Callithrix jacchus: one gene and its partners. The protein of the gene in region 1 purifies or fractionates together with the protein of each later gene. This does not show direct contact. Links are inferred from orthologs where the notes say so. Each region holds a gene or a part of one and is shown on either strand. Other genes may lie near its edges.

The links.
Region 2: the proteins of RB1 (region 1) and TFDP2 purify together in Homo sapiens (affinity purification with mass spectrometry; 4 studies listed by BioGRID and IntAct, counting the BioPlex papers as one, with this or other methods). This does not show direct contact. The link is inferred for Callithrix jacchus from reciprocal best matches to the Homo sapiens genes RB1 and TFDP2.
Region 3: the proteins of RB1 (region 1) and E2F3 purify together in Homo sapiens (affinity purification with western blotting; 9 studies listed by BioGRID and IntAct, with this or other methods). This does not show direct contact. The link is inferred for Callithrix jacchus from reciprocal best matches to the Homo sapiens genes RB1 and E2F3.

Annotation. Positions count from the first base shown.
Region 1 is NC_133502.1:67,632,402-67,640,273, forward strand, and holds part of RB1 (retinoblastoma-associated protein), read right to left. Parts: intron 5,815-7,872; coding exon 5,688-5,814; intron 1-5,687. UniProt on the Homo sapiens protein: Tumor suppressor that is a key regulator of the G1/S transition of the cell cycle. The hypophosphorylated form binds transcription regulators of the E2F family, preventing transcription of E2F-responsive genes.
Region 2 is NC_133518.1:42,564,671-42,572,542, forward strand, and holds part of TFDP2 (transcription factor Dp-2), read left to right. Parts: intron 1-3,049; coding exon 3,050-3,196; intron 3,197-7,044; coding exon 7,045-7,113; intron 7,114-7,872. UniProt on the Homo sapiens protein: Can stimulate E2F-dependent transcription.
Region 3 is NC_133505.1:10,299,763-10,307,634, forward strand, and holds part of E2F3 (transcription factor E2F3), read right to left. Parts: intron 3,457-7,872; coding exon 3,342-3,456; intron 2,046-3,341; coding exon 1,910-2,045; intron 1-1,909.

The DNA.
Region 1 (7,872 bases):
AACAGAAAACTAGACTTCATCAAAATTAAAATCCTATGCTGCAAATGACATCAACAAGAAAGTGAAAAGGTAACTCACAGAATGGGGGGAAATGTCTGCAAATAATATAACTTACAAGAGACTTACATAAAGAAGCAGCTTTAACTGCACCTTAAAAACAGAATTTAGGCTAAAGGGAGGAAAAAAAAATGGTATTCCAAAAAGGGGGAGTTAGCCTGAATATGAATACTAAAGGAGGAGGACACAGGTATTGGGAGCCATCAATGGAAATAAAAAAATAAGACTGGAAGGAAGGTTAAAGTACAGTCTATGGAGAACTACAAATACTAGGACAGTTTGGACTTTATTTCTTCATAATGGGTGGTGGGAACACAGGTGGGTATTACAATAGAGGCTACTGAAGAGTGGATTGTGACAATAAAAAATAAATTTCAAAGCAAAAGGGGCAAACAGTAAACCAGTCTTTTCAAAAAATCAGGCACCAGGATGGATTGGATGGAGAAAACAAGGGACTAGTCAGAAAGAGGCACTAAAACATGCAATAAAAATGCTTCAGTCAATGACATAAGCTTCCACCTTCTGAAATTTAAAAAAATAAAGAGGAAATTAAAGCCAAAGCAAACTAAAAACAAAGCACTGCTGGTAAGAGAAAGGAAGGGACAGATGTGAGAGGTAATGCAAAAAGATAATTTGAGACTGAATGGATAGGTTTAAAATGGAAGGAGTATGGTATAGTTTCAATTAGTCCTGTGGATAGAACTCAGTAAACAAATTACTAAGGTAAACCTGTAAGGAAAGCAAATGATAATGTAAAATTCCACTTCTTCCTAGATTGCAGAAAGCTGCAAAGAGTATTGCTTCCACCCGTACAAGAACAAGCCGGATAAGGAATAAAAACATACCCTTTCTTGAACTTAACATATCCTTTCTTTATATTTCAAATTATTTAGTTTCACCTATAAAAAGGAACCTCCAATGAGAGAATATATATGAATAATGGTTCGTCTGTGGCACAGCATGAAAGGAAGAGACACAGGGAACCCTAACAAAAGTAAAAAGAATTCAGTTAAATTTTTAATGAATGCTGATTACAAAACAACAACAAATCCATTTAAATATAAAAAAGAAATATGTTAAAATCAAAATGAAGGTAAAAGATATACAATGTAAAGATTGATCATAAGAAAAGTGGAATGGATATGTGAACATTGCAGAACAAAAGATAAAAATATGGATTAAAAAAGCACATTACATAATGATAAAGGTACCAATTTACCTAAAAGGCATAAAAATTCTAAACTTGTATGCACCCAAGAATAAAGCTTTAAAATACATCAATAAAGGCTGGATGTGGTAGCTCCCAGCAATTTGGGAGACCAAGGCAGGTGGATCATGAGGTCAGGAGTTCAACATCAGCCTGACTGACATGGTGAAACCCCATGTCTCTACTAAAAATACAAAAATTAGCCTGGCGTGATGGTGCACACCTATATATAATCCCAGCTACTCAGGAGGCTAAGGCAGGAGAATCACTTGAACCCAGGAGGCAGAGGTTGCAGTGAGCTGAGATGGCACCATTGCACTCCAGCCTGGCCGACGTTGAGATTTCGTCCCCAAAAAAAAAAAAAAAAATTTATTAATAGAAAACAGAATTTTAAAAGACCATTCTAATTACAGTTGGAGACTTCATATTTCTTTCTCAATAACCAGTAAAACGCAAAGAAAGAAAATCATTAAAGATATGGACAATCTAAGTCACCTAGTCTGTGGTATTTTGTTATGGCAGTCCTAGTAGACAAAGACAGATTTGGGTACTAGGAAGTAGGGTGCTGCTGTAAAAAAAACTTAGAAGTGGCTTTGGAAATGCATAATGGTAGAGGCTGGAAAAGTTTCAATGTACATGTTGGAAAAAGCCTAGACTGCCTTGCAGAGAGGCTCTTGGTAGAAATATGAACATTAAAGATCCTTCCGGTGAGGTATCTGGTAGAAATGAGGAACATATTATTGGACACTGGAGAAAAGGTGATCTGGGTTTAAAAAAGGAAAACAAATTGGCTGAATTGTGTTCTAGTATTTTGTGGAAGGTAGAGTTTGTGATGAAGTTGGATATTTAACTGAGACTTCTGAACTATGTGTTGAAAGTAAAGTCTGATTTCTTCTGCTTACAGTAAAATGTGAGGACAGAGGTGGGTTTTTTTGGTGTGTGTGTGTGTGACAGAGTTTTGCTCTTGTTGCCCAGGCTGAAGTCCAATGAGGCGATCTTGGTTCGCTGCAACCTCCACCTCCCAGGTTCAAATGATTCTCTTGCCTCAGCCTCCTGCGTAGCTGGGATTACAGGCACCCACCACCTAGCCCAGCTAATTTTTGTGTTTTTAGTAGAGATGGGGTTTCACCACATTGGCCAGGCTGGTCTCAAATTCCTGACCTCAGGTGATCAGCCCACCTCAGCCTCCCAAAGTGCTGCGATTACAGGCGTGAGCCACTGCGCTTGGCCAAGGATAGATATTTTAAAAAGAATTGTTAAGCAAACAGGTACCAACACTTGAAGACTTGGAAAATATCAACCTATCCATATCACAAAAAAATGAGAAAGTGTGTTTTCAAAAGAACATCAAGGATAGACAATTTGACAAAGAAATTATAGGTTTTGGACTCATAGATCTAATCTCCCAATTCAGCAGAAATGCTGTCAGCTTAGACTAAAGGGGAAAAAAACAGACAAAATGAAGAAAGGCTGTTAGACTTCTGGGATTCTACAGAAGAGGATAATCTCACTAACCAGCTGTAAGCATGTTTTATGTATGCATAAACAAGTTTTCTGACCCTAAAGTACTTAAAAATAAGAATTTTAACAACCATACTACATCAAAATAGCTACAATGCATTTAAATTTTTAACCATTTTAACTAATACCCTAAGTTCTCCTTAAAAAAAAGTACATTAATGATAAAATGTTCCAGGGCAATTCTTAAGTAAAATTATTCTGTTTGCCATACCTAACATACACATTCGTTGACTCTAACAAGAGCTTTATATGCATTAATTTATTTAATCTGCACAGTAACTCCCCAAGATCCAGAAATTATTGTCAGTTCCTTTTACAGATAAGAAAACTAAGGCTTGAAAACTGTAAGTAACATGTTCAGGATCATGGAGCTAGTAAGTGGTATATCTGCTTGACTCTTAATCCTTACTCTTAACCCATCCATCCTCTATCCCAATAAACATCACCTACTTTCTACTGTCAAAAGGGTTTCCTTTTTGAAGGTTAAATTCTCAGGCCAACGCTCAAAAACTTAACTGCACTTAAAATCATATTTCAAGGACATCATCTTCTGCCATACCCTTCAAAAGCATACCTCAAATCCCAAAAGTAACATGAAATTCCTTTCTTACCTTCCTCCAGTACCTAGCCATAAATAATTTCACACATCCTAGTCCCCATCACAAGCTCCATTAGAAAATAAGATTTAAACTGGGCTAGTTCCCAGGGAAGGTAGAGACAAAGCCGGGATTTAAAAAGGGCAATAAAACAGTAACATTTGCATATATATATATTTTTTTTTTCAAATCTGAAGCTCAAAAAAGATTTTACTGTTAAAACTTTTATTGTTATAGTTCAGTACAAAAAAATAAGTTATGTGAACTAGGCTGGAAACCTAACTACAATATCACACTTGCAAACAGATTTGGAACACAATGCACTTATAAATTGAAAACTATAGTATGTATATACACTAATACTCTCTATAATCAGCCATCCCTTCCAAAATTTCTGAACACTAAAAATCTATTATTTTAGGAAGAGAAAAGTGAAGGCGCTCTGATCCGTTTAACTGTATATGCACAAAAACAGCTTTGTACATGAAGTTCCCAAGTCAGTTAAAATATAAATTAGATGCCTGGGGATTATAACACCCAAGTCATACATTCAAGATACTCAGTAATCCTCTCTTTTTAGATAAGAAGTATAAGACTATGTTCAATTCTTTGGAAATTACAACAGTTGTTTTCTCTTTTTTACTGCCAGAGATTTTTTTTTAATGGTTTTAAACAGTTTTCTTATAGGACATAAATAAACACATTTTGCTCTGTTAATCTGATCAGTAAAAACAGATACTCTTACACTACTATACTGAGACGGTAAATTCATTAAAAGTATCTGTCTGAAATGTAATCTAGCAATAATCATCAAGAGTTCATAGCTTTTGATGCAGTAATTCAACTTAAAAGAATTTATTCTAATAAAATAATCAGATATTCATTCATTAATTTATTTAACAAATTATCAAGGACTCACTTTGTACCAAGCATTACTCTTATGAATACATAGTTTATTACATTATTTTACAGCATCAAAAAGTTGGAAAAAGCCCAAATGTCCAATAATGGTGAGAGTTAACAAATTAAAATACATCCAATAGCTAAAATATAATACTCTCACTAGAAACTATATTAGAAAAAAAATTTAATAACATAAGAAAATGGTCATATTAGGAAAAAACAAGAAAATACAAAACTATGTAACTACACGTAATTATACATAACTATATATAATCTCAAATTTATATTTGAGATCTTATTTTCTAGGGACAAGGTTCTTATTTTTCTAGGGTCAAGTTACTCAACCGCACTCTACTTTGGTGTCTTCATCTTTAAAATGAAGATTTCACATAAAATAGAGATTTTATATTTCATATATCAATGGTCTTAAAATGAGTTATCTGTATATTTCTAAAGTTCTTTTTTTTTTCCTTTTTGAGATAGAGTCTTGCTTTGTTGCCCAGTCTGGAGTGCAGTGGCATTATCTTGCCTCACTGCAACCTTTGCTTCGCAGGTTCAAGCAACTCTCCTGCCTCAACCTCCCAAGTAGCCGGGATTACAGGCATCCACCACGATACCTGGCTATTTTTTGTATTTTTAGTAGAGATGGGGTTTCACCATGTTGGCCAGGCTGGTCTTGAACTCCTCAAGTGATCACCCACCTCGACCTCCCAAAGTACTGGGATTATAGGTTTGAGCCACTGTGTCCAGACTTATTTTTTTATTTTTTGGCAACAGGGTCTTGCTTTGTTGCCCAGGCTGCAGTGCAGTGGTGTGATCTTGGCTCACTATAACCTCCGCCTCCCAGGTTCAAGTAATCCTCCCACCTCAGCCTCCCAAGTAGCTGGGATTACAGGCATGCACCCCCACACCCAGCTATGTAAAGTTCTTATACTATTCCCCCAGTACATATAAAATACTGGTAATTTTTTGCTGCTGTTATTAAACATACACATATATACATATGCAAAGAAAAAATGAAAAGAATATATCAAAATATTTTCAAGATCCTGAATTCTAACAAAATTAATTATAAGACAATTAGGAAATCTGAACAGTGACTGCATATTAGAAGGTATACAAATTATTTTATAAGGTATGGTGGTTTTTTTTAAAAAGTCCTTGTATTATAGTGAATAAAATATAACTAAGACCTGCATTAAAATAGTTTGGTGGGAGGCATATATAGCGAGATTTTTTCCAAACATTTTTAATGTTACAAGAGGTAAATATCCTCTGAGTAATGGAATTATAATTAGCTTTTATTGTCTTTATATTTTTCTATCTTTCAATTTTCGTATAGTGATTTGAAGTTGTTTTTTAAATGAGAAAAAAAATTCAGAATGTTTTAAGAAAATCCTTACCAATACTCCATCCACAGATGAAACTTTCTCCCAAGTTAACCAAGCTCTCTCTCTGACATGATCTGGTATCTTTAATTTCTGACATAACGCTGTAAAATCAGGTTCTTCAGTTTCTTCAAACTCAACCCTATCAAATGAAAATAATCATATAATTGGCATATACTTATAAATCATATTAATTCAGTAAACACTTGTTTCAATAGTTTACACATTATAGCACTATTGTAAAAGAGAACATTACTAAATATCTTGAGATCTTATTTTACCTTAGAAAGAAATTATATTTCGAATTTAAATGTATCATTATCTTTTTCATGGTCATTGAAAAATAAGGCTACCACACAGTGAGAAATATTTGCTTGCATGGTGAGTCAAATATACTTTAGAGCAGCAAAACACTCCTGCAAAGGAAAGTAAATGTAATAGCTAAAGCTGTTTGGGAAAACAGCATAAGCATAACAACAAAAATATTAAAAACCCAAAGATAATATTATACAATTTAATGGCAGTAACTTTGCTAAACTGTAGTCTACTCTTATCAATGTTTCATATAATCTCTCTACCTACTAGCACATCTTACATGATGATACTGACTGCTTATTTTTGTCCTTTCTCCTTAACAAAGACAAGCATTCAATAAATTCTTGTTGGCTAATTCCTTTCATTCATCGAATATCTATGTGACATCTAATAATAATAGTATGAAGAATAATTAATAATTTTTCAGTATTTACTATGACCCTGTAGAAAGTACCTTAGACATACGGTTTCACAGAATCCCCATATCAGCCCTTTTAGATAAGTGTTCTCATCTGTGAAAGTAAACATTTACAGATATCTATCAAATCAGAGAAGTTAAAGAACTTATCAGAGGTCTCAGCCAGTAAGAGGTAAACCACCATGTGACCCCAACAGTCTAACTTCATAATCCATGTCCCTGACCACTATTCTTGACTGCCAATTCCTCCTTCAAAACATAATTAGTTTTCTTTTCTTTTTTTTTTTTTTTTTTTTTTGAGTTCGGGTGTCACTCTGTCACCCAGGCTAGAATGCAGTGGTAAAATCATAGCTCACTGCAGCCGTAAACTCCTGAGCTCAAGGGATCCTCCCACCTCAGCCTCCTGAGTAGATGGGACTACAGGCATGCCACATGACTGGCTAATATTTTAAAAAATTTTTGTAGAGACAGGGTCTTGTTTTGTTGCCCAAGCTCCTCTCAAAATCCTGGCCTCAACCAATCTTTCCACCTCAGCCTCCCAAAGTGCTGGCATTACAGGTGTGAGCCAACATGCCTGGTCAGCTTTTTTGTTTGTTTTTTTTAAAGACTGGGGTCTTTGTTGCCCAGGATGGTCTCCAACTCCCAAGCTGAAGCGATCCTCCTGACTCAGCCTCCTGAGTAGTACGGACTACAGGTACATGCCATCACATCCAGCTCAAAACCTTCTACTATTTCAACAATGAAGGTGGTATGCTATTCCTAATGAGTTTCCCTTCCAGCTACATTACTTAGGCCAGAGATAAGGCAACAGAAATAAGATCTCAACTCTCAAATTAGAAATGGAATCTGTCACTAGAAGGGCAGTTGGAGTGAGCCCTGATTCCATCTCCAGGCAAGATGCTGCTCAGCATCAGACTGCAGGTTAGTGGTTCTACCCTTGCTCATTTAGAGTTTAACTGTCTATGTTAATTAAACCCTCGGTGGGTACAGATAAACAAGAACAGACTGTATCTTGCATGGTTTTGACTTACAAGATAATTTTTTATGGTTCCATTACTTAAAATATATAAAATAATGAGTTAAAAAATGAAAGAAACACAATCCTCTTTTTTCCAAACAGTAGCCAGAACCTCAATATTCTAGCTACCCTACATTAGAGTATGCTTCCAAAGCTATGTGCATAACATGGAATTCTTTAGAGTAGCCATTACTGCATTTTCCCAAGGGAACTTTGGAAGAATTGGACATATCAGAATTTAATCAGAAAGTAAAGTCATGTCTTTTCTCAGAACATGCCCCAGATGTGGTTTTTAATTTTTTGTTTTGTTTTTTAACGAATATGGTTTTTAAATGACCTATAAGACATTTCATTTAAATATATAAATTTTTAATAGCCTTCCACGGGCCATTTCTAAATCCCATTTCAATCTTTTACGCTGTGAATTCTGTTAGTGTCTACCGAGTGTA
Region 2 (7,872 bases), on another chromosome or scaffold:
AAAATTTTTTTTTAATTAGCCAGATGTGGTGGCACAAACCTGTAGTCTCAGCTACTCCAGAGGCTGAGGAGGATTGTTTGAGCCCAGGGATTCAATCATGCATTACAGCCTGGGTGACAAAGCAAGACTTAATCTCTTTAAAAAAGTGTGTGTGTGTGTGTGTGTGTCTATGTGTCTATGACTTATACTCTTGAGCACTGATTTAGCCCTTGATTCTGATATATCGTTCTTTAAATATTCTGTAATTTTGGATTGAATTTGTTCTTTGATCTAAGAATTGCCTTAGAAAGAGTTCTTATAGTTACAAATGTTTTTCTTTTCTTTTTTTGCTTATTTGTTGCCTTAAAGTTTTACTTTTCATACTTAATTTGACCAGATAATATGATTTGAACTATTTCCCTTTTCTGTGGATTATATTTTTTCCTTGGGAGCCATGATATAGTGATTTTCTTTCCTTTTAATGTTCTCTAACCACTTGAAAAAGAAAAATATAGGGCCGGGCACGGTGGCTCAAGCCTGTAATCCCAGCACTTTGGGAGGCTGAGGCGGGTGAATCATGAGGTCAAGAGATTGAGACCATCCTGGTCAACATGGTGAAACCCCATCTCTACTAAAAATACAAAAAAATTAGCTGGGCATGGTGGCACGTGCCTTTAATCCCAGCTACTCAGGAGGCTGAGGCAGGAGAATTGCCTGAACCCAGGAGGCGGAGGTTGCGGTGAGCCGAGATCGCACCATTGCACTCCAGCCTGGGTAGCAAAAGTGAAACTCTGTCTCAAAAAAAAAAAAAGAAAAGTATATAGCATTCTGTTTCTGAGTGAAAGCCTTGGTTCTAACAATGAGCTACAAGCTGCTTTGTGATCTTGCCCACCATTACCTCACTAATCTTGTCCTCTCCTGTGCACTTTCTCATTTACTATCCTCCAGCCACATGTCACTACGCTCCAGCTACATGTTTTGTTCCTGATCGGGCCATTGCACTTGCTGTTTCCTTTGCCTAGAGCACTCTGTGCTATGTATCCATATGGCTTCTCCCTCCATGCCCTGTGATCTCCACTCACCTGTCACCACAATGAAGCATTTCTTCTTAGTACTTTTCAACATATAAAATACATTTTTATTAATACCCGAACACCACCACCTTCCCAGGATACAAACAAAGGTTGAGTTTTTCCCCTCTTTGTTCACTGCTTTGTGATTTTTCTGATGATTTAGGGTGCTTGTAGTCTCTAGTTCTTCAGTTGGTTACCTTTATAACTTAAGTTCCTTGAGTTATCACCTGTAGACAGTGTCTATTGGTTATGAAGAAAAATGTATGTTTATTTTTATCTTCCATTTTTCTCTTCTACCATAAGATTCAGATTAGATATTTTAGTATATTTGTTAAAAGAATAAGAATACTATTACAGGCCAGGCACAGTGGTTCACGCGTATAATCCCAGCACTTTGGGAGGCCGAGGCAGGTGGATCAATCACAAGGTCAAAAGTTTGACACCAGCCTGGCCAACATGGTGGTACGCACCTATAATTTCAGCTACTCGGGAGGCTGAGGCAGGAGAATCATTTGAACCCAGGAGGCAGAGTTTGCAGTGAGCCTAGATGGTGCCATGCACTCCAGCCTGGTGACAGAGCAAGACTCTGTCTCGGAAAAACAATAATAATACTATTAGAATTGTTTGTATTACTTTAAATCAACAGATCGTGCTGAACCTTTTATAATTATTTAATCTGCTTTGAACAATATCCGTATCCCTTCCAGTATCAAAAAGAGGAAATTGGCATACCTACTGCATTTCCTCCTCCTGGTACTTCTTATAGTATCATTTTTTTCTATAATGTCAATATTTCCTTTTTTTTTTTTTTTTTTTTAAGATGGAGTCTTACTCTGTCACCCAGGCTGGAGTGCAGTGGCGCAATCTCGGCTCATTGCAATTTCACCTCCTGGATTCAAGCAATTCTCCTGCCTCAGCCTCCCTAGTAGCTGGGATAATAGGCGCATGCCACCATGCCAAGCTAGGTTTTGTATTTTTTCTTCGCTATGTTGGTGAGGCTTGGTCTTGAACTCATGACCTCAGATGATCTGCCCGCCTCAGCCTCTCCAAGTGCTGGGATTACAAGCATAAGCCACTGCTCCCAGCCCAGTGTCAAAATGTCTAGTATATTCAGTTCTATAACTTAAATCTCCCACTTATTTAGATCTAGTTTTATATTTAGGTGGATTCAGTGTTCTCCTCCATCCTTTGTTATCATTACATTTCATGAGGACTTTGTTCCACAATGTAAACCAACAGTTTCCTTCATTGAGTAAGTCTTGCTATCAAGAAAAGAAGAAAAAAAGAAAGAAAAGGTCAGCTGAACTGAATGGTGTCCCTTGTGACATAGAGGATTATATTTTGGTGCAAGTTCTGAGTCTCATTGTAAATTGGAAACAGTTTGCAGATCAGCAGTGTTCAAGGAACACATTTTGAGAAGCACAGTTTTGTCCAGAATTTGAATAAGTGTCCTTGATTTTTTTAAAGTCTAAAATCCTCTCAGACAATGCAAGGCCTTAGAATACTTTACCTCCAATACCTTTTTCAGTTAATATATATGCTATTTGTAGTCATGTATATTAAGTTCTGTATTTATTCTAGACTCCATAAGACATGATTATTGTTTTATACCGTGAGAACTGAGATTTACCCACATACTTAACTTTTGAGTTGGTCTTCATTCTATCCTTCATCTCTAAGCTCCCATCTTAGATGATATTTCTTTACCTGAAGTAATCCCTTAAGTATATTTCAGTGTAGATCTGTGGGTAACATGATCTTTATTTTTAAGATTATTTTGTTTTATATTGTTTGAAAGTATTTTCAAACAATATTATTTCATCTTTAATTTTGAAGGATATTTTCACAGAATATAAAATTCTTTTGGATGTCTTCGTCAATTAGCTAAATAAAAAAATAGAATTATTCCAGCACTTTGAAGATGTAGTATTAATTTGATATGTTAATATCATGTGACTTAACCCTTAAAATTTATCACTCAATAAAATACTTTTTAGCAGGCTTACGATCAGAAGAACATTAGGCGAAGAGTTTATGATGCTTTAAATGTACTAATGGCAATGAACATAATTTCAAAGGAAAAAAAAGAAATTAAGTGGATTGGCCTACCTACCAATTCTGCTCAGGAATGTCAGAATCTGGAGGTAAGTGAGAAAATCTGTTTATGAATAGCTGTTTGCATTATTTTACATCAGAGGCATTTTAATTTAAAAATATGCTCATGTAATATAAAATTTTCAACTGTTCATGTATACTATGTCATTTTTTAACAGACTATAGAATTTTAGAATTGGTATATTCTACAGTTTAATTGGTAAATGATGAAACAGAGAGATATAAAAGTTAAATAACAATTTGATTTTTCTGTTTCTTAGAGAAGATTTTTATTTTATTCGAATTTAATCCTGAGTGCTCTACTAGTACACTTTTTTTAATGAGATGCTGGCTGTATGTATAAAAAAAAAATGGATCAAGCTGGCTGTTTATTTCCTTTATTGGTTACACAATATTCTGACTACAGCTATGAAAGTCAGACTTTTGCATTTGACTTTAGAACTAGTAGCAACAGAATAAATGGCGTTTCATTTGTGTCTTTGCCAGAATTGATAGAATTTTTGAATGATGTGTGCAGAAGCATTTTAAATTCTGTTAACTTTAAACATTATAGGAAGTTCTCCCTAAATGAACATGTTCCCTGACATACTGTTTCTAAATTGACTTTACATAATTTTGCTATCATGGCCATAAATGGAGTAAACTGAGGTTAAATATGGCACGGTGGCTTAAGCCTGTAATCCCAGCGCTTTGGGAGGCCAAGGCGGGAGGATCACCTGAGGTCAGGAGTTCAAAACCAGCCTGGCCAACATGATGAAACCCCTCCTCTACTAAAAATACAAAAATTAGCTGGGCATAGTGGTGTACACCTGTAATCCCAGCTATTCAGAAGGCTGAGGCAGGAAAATAACTTGAACCTGGGAGGCGGAGGTTATAGTGAACCAAGATCGTGCCATTGCACTCCAGCCTGGGTGACAACAGCAAGACTCCATCTCAAAAAAAAAAAATAATTATTATTATATAGCTTTGGGAGATCATTAAGATTGATTTCCTGTTTTTCTCAGTCTTTTTTCCCCCCAGCAAATAAGTTATTTAGTATTATACTTCTGGATGGAGAAAGAAACCAGAGATTCATCAGAAGCTAAAGAATATTTTTTATATGCTAGAGTGGAAATAACCTTTTCTTGTTTTTCTTCCTTGTGATAGAGTGGAATTTGAGCATCATTTTCATGATCAGTAATACTGAGCTAATACTACAGACTCATTAAGCAAAAAAACCTATTCACATCTACCTTGTGCTTAACCACAGGTTATACAAGGCAAATCTCTGACACCAAGAAACTGTCATTCCAACTGGGGAGAAGAGAAATGTAAAAGAGTTACTAAAAATGTGATTATTCCTGTAAAAGAAATGTACAGATTCTCTGCAAAGAGGGATGAGGGAGGGCTTTACCAAGGAAATAATACATGAGCTCAGGCATGAGATGGGAGTAGTTTGCCAAGTGGATAAGGGTGGGGAGGGCCTTCCAGGCAAAGGTGCTACATGGACTGAGATAGGCATGAAAAAGCATACCTGGACCTGGGTGTGGCCAGGGAACAGGCATGGAGAAAGGGGGACAGATAGCTAAGTGTTAAGCAGTGGGGGCCTGATCCTGTAAACAATGGGAAGCAGTTGATAAATTACAAAGAGAAGGGTTGATAGGATGTTTTTTAAAGGATCACTCTGCCAGTGGGTTGAAAGTAAAATTAATAGGTAGATAGGGAAGGAAATGGAATGAAGGAGGGGAATTTAGATAGTCTGAGTTACAGCAGTGGCCATGAGATTGGAGAGGTGTTTTAGAGGTGGAATCAGTGCAGCTTGACCTGGTTGGATGAGGGACAGGTAGGGGGGCCTGGCTTGTCAGAGCTTCTGATGCAAGGGATGCTCCTACAACATCTTTTCAAATGCAGAACACCACACAAATTTTCCAGTGAATCTTAATTTAGGAGTAAAGCATGGTAGTGGATAGAGGAACCATGAATGGAAACTCCTAGTACACACTAGACTGGATGGGAGCAAGCAAAGAGATTATCTGCTGGAGCAGAGAGAAAAATGTTTCATTTCATGATTGAAAGACAAAATGGTAACAAATTTAAAGATTCTATTTAATTGGCTTTTATTTGTGATTCTAGAATCTTGTAACACCTCATTATTAAGTAGAAAGAGTGTTCCTCCGATAAGCTGAGCAGAAGAGGTTAACGTTCTTCAGTGGTTTGTTGTTGGGTTTTTTTTTTTTTGTTTTTTTTTTTTTTTGGAGACGGAGTTTCTCTCTTGTTACCCAGGCTGGAGTGCAATGGCACGATCTCGACTCACCGCAAGCTCCGCCTCCTGGGTTCAGGTAATTCTCCTGCCTCAGCCTCCTGAGTAGCTGGGATTACAGGCCACCATGTCCAGCTAATTTTTTCTTTTTGTATTTTTAATAGAGACGGGGTTTCACCATGTTGACCAGGATGGTCTCGATCTCTTGACCTCATGATCTACCCACCTCAGCCTCCCAAAGTGCTGGGATTACAGGCGTGAGCCACCATGCCTGGCCATAGTGTTTTAAGATAGAGAAGCAGCAAAGGTGGATAGACACAGAAACAGAACAAAAAGCAGATTGGACATTTCAATGTCACTTTCCTTGTAAGGTTAAAACAGAGAAGACTCTCTTACCATGCCAGCTAAAACTGGCGTGTTGGGGTAGTTCGCTATTCTCTCTTTCTCTCCTGATTTCCTAGGTCAGATAAACAACTTAGTTTTGGCATGGAACTTCAGCATGAGTGACTCTATTTTAGTTTGTTCTGTTGGGCCTAGTGCAGGAGCTCAGTCCCAACCAATGGGCTCCCATAAATTTTCCTAACAGATGTCATTGGCTTTGCCCAAGGAGACATTGAGGAACTCAGCTGCAAGGAAGTTCAGACCCTAATGTCTGTTTTCTCAAAGTAGTTATCAGATTGAGAGAGAGGAAAAAAAAGCAGTTGTTTGAAGCTGGAAAATTTGTCTATCAAGCATATTTCTTTTCTTTTCTCCTCCCCCCTCCCCTCTTTTTTTGAGACAGAGTCTTGCTCTGTCGCCCAGGCTGGAGTGCAGTGGCGCAATCTCGACTCACTGCAACCTCCATCTGCTGGGTTCAAGCGTTTCTTGCGTCTCAGACTCCCAAGTAGCTGGGACTGCAGACACACGCCACCATACCTGACTTAATTTTGTATTTTTTGTAGAGGTGGGGTTTCACTGGATTGGCCAGGCTGGTCCCAAACTACTGATCTTAAGTGCATTCGCCCTCCTCAGCCTCCTGAAGTGCTGGGATTATAGGTGTGAGCCACAGCGCCTGGCCTAGCATGTTTCTTATTACAAGTAGGAATTGTATATTGAATGTGTGAGATAGCTATTATCAGCTGTACTCATTGGAAAGTCAGCTAAACTGAAACCAAAATAAGATCTTGCCTTGTTCTTTGAGGAGTAATATAGCAAAGTAATTAATATAGAGTCCCTGTTGTAACCAGAGGGCTTAGGTTCAAATCTTGGCTCTGGCTATTCACTAGCTGTGTGACCTTGGAAATGGAGCCCTCTATGCGTATAAAATGCATACTTTTGTGTTGGCAGACAGAGTAAGGATAATCTAAGTGGTATTATTACTTTGATTAGAACTTGAATAATAATTGCAACAAGTACTGCTAAGAAGTATTTATTAAGTGTGTGGTTTCATTTTTGATGATAGTTGCCATAGATCTGATGCTGTGCCTGCTTGTTCACTCCAACCCCTGCCCCCTGCAAAGATGTGATTTATCTTTATTCATATTGTTAAGATGGGTTGAGTTTCTCTAGGAAGAATTGTTATCTCAGAATAGGGACCTGGAAAGTGAATACTTTATACTCTACCTATGTTCACGTTATTTTGTAACCAATGTTTTAAAGATAGAAAAGCAGAGGCGGATAGAACGGATAAAGCAGAAGCGGGCCCAGCTGCAAGAACTTCTCCTACAGGTAAAGATGTGAGATGTTTTCATTACCTTCCCTGTTTCTCCACTTCCTTCATCTTGGAGTCGGTGTGTTTTCTAATTGTGGTGCCTCTGAGTGGTGTGTGGTGGGCCCACACCAGGGCAGCCCCTTTCGCCTCCTAGCTCATTGTCATCCACATGCTCTGCCTTCCGATGGTCCCATCTCTTGCCATCATCTCAGCTCCACAGCAGCTTCCCTGCCCTGTGTGTGACTTATACCTGGCAGCAGTCCACTGTTGACACTCAGCCCTCTGTAAACATAAACTGTCAGGGGTCTTTTTGATTTTAGCCCTAATTCGGCATATCCACTAGTGAGGCTAAATTTTAGGTACTTCAAGTACAGTAATCAAATCTGCCTTTAATACTTATTTTATCAGTAAATGACAGAATTGCATGAAATAATTCAGTAAGATTTATAGAAATACCAAAACTTAGGCTGGGCACGGTGGCTCAAGCCTGTAATTCTAGCACTTTGGGAGATCAAGGCGGGTGGATCCCTGAGGTCAGAAGTTGGAGATCAGCCTGGCCAACATGGTGAAACCCATGTCTACTTAAAAAAAAAAAAAAAAAAAAAATTAGTTGAGTGTGGTGGCATGCACCTGTAACCCCAGTTACTCAAGAGGCTAAGGCAGGAGAATCGCTTGAACCCGGGAGGCAGAGGTTGCAGTGAGCCAAGATCATGCCAGTGTACTTCAGCCTGGGTGACAGGGGAAGACTCCATGCCCCCCCCCCCGCCAAAAAAAAA
Region 3 (7,872 bases), on another chromosome or scaffold:
CAAGTAGCTGGGACCACAGGTGTGAGCCACCATGCCTGGTTTATCTTTGTATTTTTTTTTTTTGAGACGAAGTTTCATTCTTGTTGCCCCGGCTAGAGTGCAATGGCACAGTCTCAGCTTACTGCAATATCTGCCTCCCAGGTTCAAGCAATTCTCTTGCCTCAGCATTCTAAGTAGCTGGGATTAGAGGCACCAGCGAGTATACCCAGCTAATTTTTGTATTTTTAGTAGAGAGGCAGTTTCACCATGTTGGCCAGGCTGGTATCGAACTCCTGATCTCAGGTGATCTGCCCATCTAGGCCTCCCAAGGGCTGAGATTACAGGCATGAGCCACCACGCCTGGATAGTCTTTGTATTTCTTTGTAGAGACAGGGTTTCACCATGTTGCTCAGTCTGGTCTCGAACTCCTAGGCTCAAGTGATCTTACCTTCCTCAGCCTTCCAAAGTGCCGAGTCACCCCGCCCGGCCATCTTTCTGTGGCCCTAGTCTACTCAATCATCTTCCAAATAGCTACTGTCAATAAGCAAGAATGCAGATAGCTTCAATGATCAGAGGCTAACAAGTTCAAAAATGTCTCTCTGCTAACTAGTCACTGTTTTAAGAAAATCAAAACAAAACATATACATACTGAAAAGCTGGCTTCCCAGTAGAAACTCACCAACTGAAAAAAAAATTTATTTTATTTTATTTTTTTAAGAGAAGGGGTCTTGCCACATTGTCTATGCTGGTGTGCAGTGGCTATTCACAGGCATGCGGGGCTCACTCTAGCCTTGAATTCCTGGGCTCAAGCTGCCTCAGCCTCCCTGTAGCTCAAACTACATGCAGAATCACTGCTTTTAACTCAGTCTTTTCTGAACAACCAGCTTATTAAAAACATCTCTAAAAGCACATATAATAAGACATGTCCACCTTGGATTTCTGTGGTGAAAAAAGATGGCCTTTAGTTTTGCCATTTCAGGTGCTGTACTTTTGCTTAGTATTAAATCAGACTTAGTCACTTAAATCAACCTTATTCTTGCTGCTATATAGGGAGACAATCAGGAAAAAAAATTGCATATATATTCCCAAGCCAGGAAATGGAAAAGAATATATACTGCAAAGAGCTTCCTTTGCTCTTTGCAGAGTGGGAAGGAAAACTTAGACGTACTTTCCTAGTGTTCTCCTCCCATGTCCTTTCCCCATCTCATTGGGGGGAAAAATAAGACAAAAATTCTTCAACAAAGGCTTTTCTCTTCAAACTTTTTTTTTTTTTTAAATATGGTGTCTCGCTCTGTCGCCCAGGCTGGAGTGCAGTGGCGCCATCTCGGGTCACTGCAACCTCCACCACCTGGTTTCAAGCAATTCCCTTTCTCAGCCTCCCAAGTAGCTGGGATTACAGGCGCCCACTGCTACGCCCAGCTAATTTTTGTATTTTTAGTAGCATGGGGTTTCACCATCTTGGCCAGGCTGGTTTTGAATTCCTGACCTCGGGATCCAACCGCCTCGGCCTCCCAAAGTGCTGGGATTACAGACGTGAGCCACCGCTCCTGGTCTTTTCAAGCCTTTTTCGTTTCCCTCTCTGATGAGCTGTGCAGTGTCACTCAAAGGAGTGTGCTCAAGTGTCTCTGATGATCCACCAAGACAGTTCACAGCTTTGCTCCTCACTTCAGCTGGTTTTCAAAAATGCTGCAAGGAAACGTTCTCTGCCAACAGCAAATGCCCGAAGCCACTCCCTGAGTGGGTGAAGGAGCCGTTTTCCCCAAATCATTATTTTATTCTGTAAACCAGCCAGAATGTCTTTTAAAATATGTTACCTAATAACAATACAAGGTTTTGTTTCTTGACTAGGCTTGTGGTTCCAATACAGACAGTTCCAGTCACCTTCATTTTTAACATAGTTTCCAAAAGACAAAAGTGGAATTCTTCTTACCTTTGGAAGTGGGTTTAGGGATATTCCCATTGTGGTCTTGGTTGCTTGTTTTCATTGGACTGTGTGTTTCAGTCTCTTCTGGACATAAGTAAACCTCAATGGGCCCTTGGGTACTTGCCAAATGTATTTGTAGGCTCTAGAACAGAAGTGGGAGAAGTTTGAATCAGAAGTTCTTTTAGAAATAAAAGCCATAGTAATTTTCATCTAAAAATGGAAAGTAAGAACAACGTTCATTGTTCACTTGCTTCTTCTCTGCTAGTCCAACTCTATCAAAGACTGTCATCTTCTAGCGCAGGGGTCAGCAAACCATAGCCTAAGGGCCAAATCCAGTTCACCCACTGGGTTTGTAAATAAAGTTTTATTGGAAGAGAGTCACACCCATTTCCATTGTTTATTATTGCCTCTGGCTGTTTTCATATTACAATGGCAGAGGTGCACAGCTGAATAGTGTGCAGACCGTAAGGCTCACAAAGCAAAAGATATTTACAATCTACCTGGCACTTTAATTAAAAAGTTTGCTGAGTCTTGCTCTAGAGAAAGAAAATTTTTTTGTGGGGAGCAGGGAGTCAGTCTGAAAATGGCACAATGGGTGAGGTGAATTGTGTTCTTTGGATATATTCTTTTTCTGTAAATTATTAAAAGGTCTTTTAAATGTTCCAAATCCAGTATTTCCATGTTATTGTTCCTTTATGGTAGGACTTCTTCATGTTGAACTGTAATAACCAAGTGATGTATTCTTAAGTGCTAGGAACTGCATCTATGAAGAGAATGCAGCACACTAACATTTAAAAATCTTTTTCATCTAGGTCAAAGAGCTATTATTATCTTTTAAGGCAAGAAGTCTACCCTGGATGGAAGCATGTAACTTTCATTCTCTTTTTATCTCCTATGCATTTTCTTTTTACTACATCTCTTTATGTCATACTTGTAGTCTAGGCTCTATTATCCAAGTATATCTGAAAATCGTAAAACTATGCCCCCTACTTTCTTACAATATTCTGGTCTATCAACTAACCCAAAGCCCCGTTTGATCTCTTAAAATGTTATAAGTTAGAGAGAGACTTTAAAACATTTATATATCTGTTCGTGGTGCAAACCATATACAGGATAATCCATATAAACTTTTCAAAGTGGTTCAAGTTGATCAAAACCACCTGATGATGAATTATGAGAAAGAGAGAGTACAAGAGGGACAGGGCATCATATTCCACTTTGCACTGAACATCCCGCTAGGTCACAGTTAGATTGTCTGCATACTCAATGGATATCAAACTGTTAAAATGTTTTTAAGCGTATGATTAAATGAAATGAATTGGAAAGAACCATCAAGTTCTTGGGGTAGGGGGACAGACTTTAACTATGAGTCAATGACTCTTCAATTTCAGGCATTCCAAAAGATCTCCGCAGATGAACAAAGATGCTGTCTCCTTACCTCTATTGAGTCAGGCACTTCAAGTCTTGTTTCTGGAGGGGCTTTCACAACTATAACAGTTTGGTCTTTAAGGCCACTAATTTTTCGAATATCTTGATATGTAACATAAGCTAACGTAAAGAGTGTCAAGGAATCTTCCATCTAATGACCTCAGATATAAGTAAGATGAAAATGACAAAATAGATGCATAGAATATTTCAAAGTATTTTATGACTTAAAAGTATACATATGTCTTCCCTTCTGGACCTGGAAGTGCTTAGGGCCTCCCATGAAACTTCTTTTCTGGTTGACACTCTAAGCAACTAAAGAAATGAACAGCTTTATCCCACCCATTTCTTTCTTTTTTTTTTTTTTTTTGAGATGGAATTTTGCTCTTGTTGCCCAGGCTGGAGTGCAATGGCAGGATCTCGGCTCACTGCAACCTCCGCCTCACAGGTTCAAGTGATTCTTCTGCCTCAGCCTCCCAAGTAGCTGGGATTACAGGCACGCACCACCATGCCCAGCTAATTCTGTATTTTCAGTAGAGACAGGGGTTTTTCTGTATTGGTCAGGCTGGTCTCGAACTCTCAACCTCAGCTGATCTGCCCAACTCGGCCTCCCAAAGTGTTAAGAATATGGGTGTGAGCCACTGTGCCCGGCCTATCCCACCCATTTCTAAAAAGACTGTGGCTATTTAAAATATTAAACACACAAACAGAATAGTTAAAATAAATGATCATATGAAAATCAAAAACCACTTAGGTGAGAACTTTTATCTTGAAGCCACAGTACTTGGCAGCACAGATATTCGATGAACGCCAATCAAGTGTTCTGTTACTCAAACTGAATGATGGCAGATTTCAATTTGCAGGGAAAAAAAAGTTAATCTCTATTAGCCGTAATTTTTTTGAAACTCCAGTTACTTCTATCTGTAAGCAAGTGTCAGCAGCCACCAAACAAATAAATAAGTAACAGATATGTTAGTGGAAGAACTCAGATACTGCTCAGGCAGACAGCTTGTTTTCTTAAGTGTTCCAGGGCTGCTTGTGATTTTGTATTGCTTACAAAGAGCGTCATTATTTCTGTTAGAAAAATCATCCTTTGGTACTATGCTGACTCCATCAATATTTCAGCGTTCACGGGGAAGAAAACAGTTTCCAGGTGCTCTGCGAAACACTGATGTAGGAAGTAACTACCAGGAGTACTGAGATAGTATTCTTTTTTTTTTTTTATTTTAAAATATAATTTCTTTTTTCTTTTTTTTTCTTTTTTATTGCATTTTAGGTTTTGGGGTACATGTGCAGAACATCCAAGACAGTTGCATAGGTACACACATGGCAGTGAGTTTTGCTTCCTTTCTCCCCTTCACCCATATTTGGCATTTCTCCCCAGGCTATCCCTCCCCAGCTGGCCCTCCCCTTTTCCCCCCAATAGACCCCAGTGTTTAGTACTCCCCTCCCTGTGTCCATGTGTTCTCATTTTTCATCACCCGCCTGAGTGACAATATGCGGTATTTCATTTTCTGTTCTTGTGTCAGTTTGCTGAGAATGATGTTCTCCAGATTCATCCATGTCCCTACAAACGACACGAACTCATCATTTCTGATTGCTGCATAATATTCCATGGTGTATATGTGCCACATTTTCCCAGTCCAGTCTATCATCAATGGGCATTTGGGTTGGTTCCAGGTCTTTGCTATTGTAAACAGTGCTGCAATGAACATTCGTGTGCGTGTGTCCTTATAGTAGAACGATTTATAGTCCTTTGGATAGTATTCTTTCCTCTTTAGAAACACTGATTTAGGAAAAGAGAAAAGAATACTATCTCAGTACTCTTGGTAGTTACTTCTTTTTTCTTTTTGAGACAGAGTCTTGCTCTGTCACCCAGGCTGGAGTGCAGTGGCGGAATCTCAGCTCACTGCAACTTCCACCTCCCATATTCAAGCTATTCTTGTGCCTCAGCTTGCCTCCTGAGCAGCTGGGACGAGAGGTACGCACCACCACACCTGACTAATTTTTTGTATTTTAAAAGAGATGGTGTTTCAGCATTTTGCTCAGGCTGGTCTTAAACTCTTGGCCTCAAGTGATCCCTGCCTCCAGCCTCCCCAAGTGCTGGGATTACAGGTGTGAGCCACTGTGCCTGGCCTTGGCAGTTTTTCTCTAAGCACTGAACAATTCTTTAAAATGTCCTGGCAGCCAAGTCTAAAGGCTATCATGAAAGAACATGGTACTTATGATATGCCAAAAGTATTGAAGTGAGCTTGACACTTGGCACTAAAAAAGAAAAGTCTGCATGGCTTTCTTAAATAAGGGACATGGAGTAAACAATTAATGGACAGTGTCTTTAGCCAGTTATTATTTTTTATATGAACGAAAAATTCCTAACACAACAAGTAACAAACCAACGAAGGCATTTCAGCAGCTAGTATAATGTATATAATAGCTGAGAGTCTGTGATCTAATATGCTTAATATTTTTTTAAAGGGGGCGGGGCTTAGAGAGCCTAGAAGAAATTACGTCCCTTACAATAGTAGCTCTTTTTTGTTTGAGATGGAGTCCCACTCTGTCACCCAGACTGGAGTGCAGTGGCTCCGTCTCAGCTCACTGCCACCTCTGTCTCCCAGGTTCAAGCGAATTACGTGCCTCAGCCTCCCAAGAAGCTGGGATTACAGGCGCCTGCCACCGTGCCTGGCTAATTTTCTGTATTTTTAGTAGAGACGGGGTTTCACCATGTTGGCCAAGCTGGTCTTGAACTCCTGACCTTGAGTGATCCGTCCGCCTCAGCCTCCCAAAGTTCTGGGATCACAGGGGTGAGCCACCATGCCCAGCTATAGTAGCTTCTTATTAGAAACTGAAGGCAGCTATGAAACTACTCCTCTAGGAAAAAAAGCACATTCACACAAAAGCTGCATACACATGTAGAGCATCTATCAGACCATCTCCTTCAAATCTTTGTTGTTGAGTTGATGGCTAGTTCAGTGTTGAGCTGATAGTGGCTGCTCTTGCAGGATTCTGGATTTTAGGTCACTACATATACCATCAAAGAAGCCAACGGATGCCTTTATAGAGGGCCAGGCAGTTCTAAATTTTACTGACAATCAGGTACTTACACTACAGCCCACTGTCAAAAAAGCGGTATGACAAGAACTTAGTGAAATAAAAACTCATCGCTTCTCGGCCTTTTGGCTAAGATCGAGTGTCATAGAAAAACTCATCTACAATTACTCAACATGCTGCAGGAAGGAAAATTTCAACACATTTGTGAACAAGCTGTACCGATTTGGGAACTGAATGGTGAATTGAAATACATTGTGCAAATATATTTTCTAATCTTACAAACTTAAAAGTGCTTCCTTTGCGGCTCCCTCCCAAATTTACTCCTTAGGTTCTAAGTTCCCTGCAAGGAAGCTTTCATTTTCTGTAACAAAGGCCCCAGAGAAAGCTAATATAGGTGACAATGCCATAGGCCACATGTCCCGGAAGGCTGCCAGTCACGTGTAACCACCCGTCTCTTCCACAATGGGGCTCCTAACCAAACAGTGAATATAACAGCCCAACCGTTGGTTTCTTCCCCTATAAACCCACTTTGCCCACCACTGGGGGTCCGAATCACTACACCTCTCTTCCATCTCACTAATTATTGGCTGACAAGGTTAATTCTTTGGTCAACAGGAAATCAACAACTGCAGCTTTGAAAAACTGCCAACATTGGAAGAAAATAAATACCTGCATATCCTCCAAGGGGGAGCCTGTAAAAGATGAACCACTAGAAGAATCTGGGCAGAACGCAACTTTTGTCAAATAATGGCAAATGTGGGATCATGGGAACTTTGGAACTAAATCTAGGGATGCGATAACCTCTAGTATTGTCTTTTGCCTTCTAATAACGGAGAATGCTGGCGAGTCTTCTTGTTTGACATAATGAGGCGATCTCTCCCTCGTTTGACATAACGAGGTGATCTCTCTCTTGTTTCGTCTGTAGTCAGGTGATAAAGAGCAAGTTTTCCTGAGATCATCAACAGATTGTCCGGAAGCTGAGAACAAGAACTGACCTTGTGTATTTTATTTCCAAGGACTCATGTTCGGAGTGGAACAGATGAATTGAAAGGAGTTTCTCAGGTCTTGGGGGGTGCTTCTGAAATCAATTTTTTGTACTGGGAATCGGCAGAGTACACTTTAAGAGTTACAGTATAATTGTTCTCTACTCTTTCGAACCCTTTATAGCCCAATCAGATAGATTCAACCAATTTCAATTGCTACAGTATCTGGCGAAAAGAAAATAGAATGTGAGAACCCCAACAGTGACAGCTAACACCCACCAAAAATCTGGGAAGCCAAAGACGAATCTGCTTAGTGTTGTCATTAATATTGATACCGACGACACCTTATGCATCTTTTAATAGTGTGGCCTTACGCTATGAGTCTACCCATATGTCGCAAACACACGTGAAAAAAACGCTTTAAAAAACAGTTCCCACCTGGTATCAAAATAGATCATAACAGGATCGAGTTGGTGACGACCTTACCATACATAGTGACTTTTTAGGCAAAGC